Linked DNA regions of Danio rerio. The protein of the gene in region 1 purifies or fractionates together with the protein of each later gene. This does not show direct contact. Links are inferred from orthologs where the notes say so. Each region holds a gene or a part of one and is shown on either strand. Other genes may lie near its edges.

Region 1 (3,669 bases):
CAATTAAAACTGTGCATTCACAGTTTTAGATACACAATGCAAAACAAAAACTAAGTAAAGTATTTATTTTAGGAAGTTACTGAAAAAAGGTATGCACACATTCAGGTAAAAACAACAGTGTCAGACTATTGGCCAAATGTGTGTGCGGTTTAGTACTGAATTTTCACACTGATGCTCTTCACTCACTGACTGTCATGAGCAGCGCTCCGGCTCTCACACTCCTCCAAAAGCAGGTATTCCTGCTCCTCCTCCCCTAGACAAAGAGGAGCAACTAGACTACACCACACACAAATACACACAATGAGCCCCTTATTTCCAGATCTTTACTCATCATACCTGAACGTACTCAAAGCTTTCAGTAGAGGTGGGCGGTTTTTTACATTACATAACGCTGATACTGATATACACTGATATAAATACAACAGACTCAAAAAGGGAACAATCCTATATAACAAACTGTTGGATAAAACAATGCATTCCAATGGCAACTAATTTAGTGGCTAATTTGTATGATCTCATTTAGGGCTGCACGATACATCGCTTCAGCATCAAAATCGCGATGTGCGCATCCGCAATAGTCACATTGCAGGAGGAGCGATGCAAAGCAAAAAAAATAATAATAACAATAATATATATATATAACTGCCATATTATTTTATTTATTGTAAAGTTAATTGTTGGTAATTATTAAAACAAGTTTATCTTATCCACAATTGTTTTATAACATGTTTATTTTTTTTTAAACCACTCAGGGGGTTATTGTTTAGCTGTTTTTATATTTTTACAATTTTGTGACGAGATATTTCCTTCTGTTTTTTAATTGTTGTAATAAAAAAGTTTGTAATTGTTAAAAAGTTAAATAACTTATTTTGTCACTCGTGTTAATTCCTAAATGTGATAATAAAGTGTCATCTTTACATTCACCAAATGAGCTTACCTTTATCACAGTAAAAGCAACATTTAGTATTAATATCATAACATATTAGATCCTTGATTTATCTGAATTGACAGTTAAGTCATATTTTTTATAAACAACCCAAAAGAAAGTGTTTTTACTTATTAATTTTTATATTCTATGAAAATGCTTAAAAAATTACCCAAATTATTATAGAATTAATGATTATTTAATTTTTGAGCAGTTCAAAACTCCCGATTCTGAATTTTTAAAATATCGCAATATATATCGCAGGGAAAACAAATATCGCAATGTCAATTTTTTCCGATATCGTGCAGCCTTAATCTCATTCATATATTTTAGTACGATTTTCCCATCTCCCAGAGAGGGGTAGTGGTGGGTTTTTGTGCCCATGCCTCCTGTTAAAAATCATATATATTCATAAGAACGAAATTGCATGAACTTTTTCGAGTTGACCATTTTTTTTAACAATATGCACAAAAGTTACATTTGCTCGTGAGATGTTGATGGATGAGCCATCTTTTAAAATAGCCAATAAATGGGTCCCTCTTTATTCGAGGGAGTTATGTTCTAAAAATAACCCACAATAGGCAAAATCCTTGAAATAGTCTGCTTTATTTTTACAATTATTATAGATGTTTTAAGGCTGTAAAACTTCTCATAACATACTTCATACACTTTTCTCAGACAGGCATTAACCTTTTCACACTTTTAGCTCTTGTTTAAACACTCACAAAGTTCAAACCTTCGTAGAAAAATAAGTCCAGTGTTATAAAATGTAACCAAATATTTGATTGATCATTTATTTATTTTCTCTAATGACACCCTACAGCAGTGTAACTTCTACCTTCCTTTAGCATGTCCAGAAGTTCTACTTTTTGTGGAATGGTTAGCATCTTCCTCTGCCTTTTACAGTAAAGCACTTTAGAGTAACATTGCTAGCGATCGAAGATGTATGTAAATTTGGCAAGCTGAACGCATTCTGTACTGTACAGAAAACACAGCATTAAGGAAATTGATTGAAAACTTTCTACAGCCAATCAGGGCACAGAACACTATCAGGGCGCAGAACACAATACAATGTAGAAAAATAGCATGTCGAATTGCACAAAAAAATGGTGAAACTGCGAGGCTGCGAAAAGTGAACCGTTATGCCAAAGGATGTCTGTATACACATCTGTAGCTATGTTTCCATCCAAAGATGCAAAATAAAACTATGCGCAAGATTAGAATATTACATAAAAAGAGTTGAGATTAAAGAAGCACTTCCATCCCATGAGTCAAAGAGAACAAAATAGTCACGTCCTGATAAACTGGTGCCAAATATCAAAAAGAACAACGGAATTTGCTGAGGTACAGAATAAATCGCTTGTGCTTGAGAGGACAATGCCAACACGACGATCTTGACAGTTCTGGAGGCAACTAATACTATAACAATAATACTGAAATAGTTACAGCATACTAGAATGACCAAAACAACATGTCAGATGTTTTACAATGTTGTCAGCATGCTCAGTTGTCCATTAATGCATCCCATCACATGCATTCTCATCATCACATGAAGTCTTAAAACAAAATCACATCACTTTTTTAAAATGAATGTATTCTGTAAAAGTGTTTCCATCGTAGTTTATGTGCATTTTTTATTGAATTAAACGTTTATTGTATTAATCGTATTATTTATCGAATTTGTTTTCATAGCTTATCGTATTATTTTTTTATGCGCATCATCAAAGTTTATATGCATCTTGGCATTTTAATCAAGCATTTGTTAATGCAATAATCCAAAATGTGCACAAAAATAAGTGTATGGAGACATAGCTTGGGATTTACCTGTTAGGCTCAGGTTTTTTGCTCTCACAGTTGAGCAGCCAAAGGTAGTCCTGAGGCTCATCTAGACTGGAGGATGATCCCAGCTGTCTGATGCTAACGGGCTGGTAGGGAGGAGGCAGGTTGGCTAATGCAGACGCCCCTAAAGCTCCGCCCAGCCCTCCACTAGGGGCCATATCCACGACCAGACCGCCTGGCACATTAACATGATGAGAGACCTTTGCAGAGTCTGTAGAAAGAACAGTGGGGTTAGAGAGGTTAACATAAAAGCTTCACACTTTATGAGATCACGAGCTTCGAGACACATTTAAGATTAGATCAAACTAAGGGCTACACTGCTTATTCAAAAGCTTTTACTGAAACCGTTCCTGTGTAAAACAAATTACTATTGTGAAAGTGTCTTTAAAGGATGACTTCTGGTAAGCTAAGAGCACTTGGAAAAAAAGAACTATAAATTGTGAAAATTAAATTGTGAAAATACAAGGTGTGGCTGTGAAATGTACTGCACGCACAAAAAAGTACACAAAAAAAATCAAATATCAAATAATTTTATTTGGTTCGAAAAAAAAAATTATATAAGTAATTAAAAAATAACGTCTTATTCATTAATAATAATAATTTGTTGCTTAATCACACTGTTTTCTGGAGTGCTTATAGAATATTTTTACAAATATTCAGCTCTCTATGTAGGTTTGTTTTAAGAGGTCCATATAGAACTCATCGTTGCATATTATACATACAAAGTTTACTTCAACCTAAGTTCCGCATACAATATCATTGGTATTTGTTTCTTTTTAAATGTGTTTATTTTAGTTTCACTTCTTATTTAAAGCAGTTTTTTGTTCCATTTACCTCCTCAGATTCTCTTTGACATATGCAACAGAATTATTTTTTGTTCCAAGAATTACATACAACAGAAAGTG
Region 2 (2,510 bases), on another chromosome or scaffold:
AATGTCTTTCTTAAAATTAAAAATGATTAATAATCACTTTTTTAACAGAAATATTTTAATTTCTACTCTAAAACAAAGCTAAAATGCTGGGGAAAAACATAAAATAATATTAAACAAATTTGAATTTAATTCATATTTAAACAATTTTATTTATATTGAAAAAAATACCTAAATTTAAATACAAAACATATATATTGAAGTCAGAGGTGCCCAAACATTTTCTTATAAATGGCCAAAAATCAAACTTGATTTAGGATTGTGGGTCGATGGTAAATCTACCAAACCTGTATTTCATTAAAGTTGCCATGGGTAATTTCCTAATTTATTTCATAATAATTAAAAATAAATAGCGAAAATTTGAATTTACCCATATTAGCTAATGCATTTTATCTTTTTACCTCGTATAATTAATTTATTACAATATAAACAAATGATTCATATTAACACTATAGAGTCAAATGCTGTATACACTAGTCAAGTGACAATATTTGCATAAAAAACAAAAATTTAATTAATTTACAACATTTTAGGTTAGCTTTTTTTGAAGCTTAACAATAAAACCAACAAAAATATTATTCTGTCTATATAATCTATATCATTAAATGCCTGACCACACTTCGTTATTATTGTTCATTTATTTGTTTGCTGGAAATTAGAACTGAATTTAGAAATAGTTTTAATACAAATCTTTGCGCTTAATAAACAAAATTAAATATGTAATGGATGCCTTCAACAGAGTGCGTACAACACCGTTTTCTTATCCACAAAAGTAAAGGAGTAAAGAAAAGAGAAAGTAAAGAAGCCGAATGGAGGAGGCTCATTCTTTATCCTCGCGCTGTGGATGGTTTGCCTAACTGTTTTCTCTCTAGTGAAGCTTTCAGTTTTTCCACTAACAAAGTCCACCATGTAAATTGCAAATGCACCATGGCGTGACGCAACTGACTCTTAAAGGGAATGGGAGACAAGTCTCTGATTGGTTTAATGCACGTTATGCTCAAAACACACCCATTACTCATTAAGAGAATGAGCACAACCCTGTAAGACTATGCGCTGCTGCGCAAACTGTATTTTTCCATCCTTAAAATAGCAAAAGTGGATTCAGACAAACCCTTAATGCTTTTGCACCCTGCGCTTTAGACTTTGCACTTAGATTGTTAAAATAGAGCCCTTGTTGTGCTTGTGAACTATTACCTAAAATAATCCTGTAATTTTAAATCGTCTCGTCTTTGCCATGAAAATGAAACAATTAATGGCATTTTGGAATCATTTAACAAAATGTACTTGTATGTCAATGTTATCATCAATTTGCATTGTTCTACTAAGTTTCCCCACAAGGTGTCACTATTAAACATCAGCAACAAAACAAACATTATTTTCTTTTGACTCTATTTTTTTGCCTTTCTTTATAGCTATAATGTCATGATTGAGTGCTGGCACCCCAAACCCGAGCGTCGACCAACTTTCTCAGAACTAGTGTCTCGCATCTCCGCCATCTTCTCAAGCTTCAGCGGAGAGCACTACATCCTCCTGAACACCACCTACGTCAACATCGACAAAATGACACCCTACCCCTCTCTCATATCATCTCAGAGCAACCTCGACCGCGACTGCTGCACCTGAGACACCAAAAAAAAAAAAAAAAAAGAGACCATGAAAGACTCTGGACAGGCTTTCATCATTGAGGCAGGGGGGAGGAAAAGAGTGGCCCAAGGACACTGTGAAAGACTTAAAAGGCCCGAACACTCCCTTCATCATCGCTGTAAATAGATTATGATGATCCGTGACCTGTGGAGGAGCTTGAGATGGTCCTGTTCTCCTGGGACGGAGAGCCAAAGACTAACGGCCTCCTATTCGATGTGAGCGTCTGATCCAATTTTGCTCTAAGCGTGTTCTCTGGCGATAACTGAAAGTGCGATTTTATTTTCTGTGAAAAGTGTCGTAAATTGTTGTGCATGCCTTCGTACCATGAACTGAACGCTGCATAATGAGGAGATCAGGAGAACACCGGACACATATTTTTGTTGTTGTTTTTTATCCAGGCCGATATGAATGAAATGGTTTTGTTTACTGTGTTCAGATAAATCTTATCTGTTCGACATTTGGATCTTACTGCCGTAGTAGTTCTATATTTTTATATATATAATCTGTTTAAGTTTAGTGTCAAAGCAAACATTAAAGGCCTGCATGGAATATGCACAGGTTTTTTTTTTACACTGATTGGGTCATGAAATCTGTAAAATGAATTTGAGGTATGGTTTAAGTAAAGTAAAATGTAAAATGTTTGTTAATTTTTTTTTCTGTAATGGTCTGATAATATTTCTTCCAAATTTCAAGTTCAAATATGGTCATTTAGGGCATTTTTTGTCTCGGAAAAGGATGTTAGGTCACAATTCCAAATGTTTTCATTTAGCGATTGAACATCAGGGTCATCCCTTCAAATAGTACTTCGTTGAATGAAAATTTTTGAATTGGGTAAGCTAAATTGTCCTTATGTATGTTTAATAATGAAT

The links. The genes of interacting proteins can lie anywhere in the genome.
Region 2: the proteins of gab1 (region 1) and met purify together in Homo sapiens (affinity purification with western blotting; 3 studies listed by BioGRID and IntAct, with this or other methods). This does not show direct contact. The link is inferred for Danio rerio from reciprocal best matches to the Homo sapiens genes GAB1 and MET.

What each region holds. Positions count from the first base shown.
Region 1 is NC_133176.1:38,713,782-38,717,450, reverse strand, and holds part of gab1 (GRB2-associated-binding protein 1), read right to left. Parts: intron 2,976-3,669; coding exon 2,750-2,975; intron 277-2,749; coding exon of another isoform or gene 187-276; intron 1-186. UniProt on the Homo sapiens protein: Adapter protein that plays a role in intracellular signaling cascades triggered by activated receptor-type kinases. Plays a role in FGFR1 signaling. Probably involved in signaling by the epidermal growth factor receptor (EGFR) and the insulin receptor (INSR).
Region 2 is NC_133200.1:19,674,496-19,677,005, forward strand, and holds part of met (hepatocyte growth factor receptor), read left to right. Parts: intron 1-1,409; coding exon 1,410-1,620; 3' UTR 1,621-2,510. UniProt on the Homo sapiens protein: Receptor tyrosine kinase that transduces signals from the extracellular matrix into the cytoplasm by binding to hepatocyte growth factor/HGF ligand. Regulates many physiological processes including proliferation, scattering, morphogenesis and survival.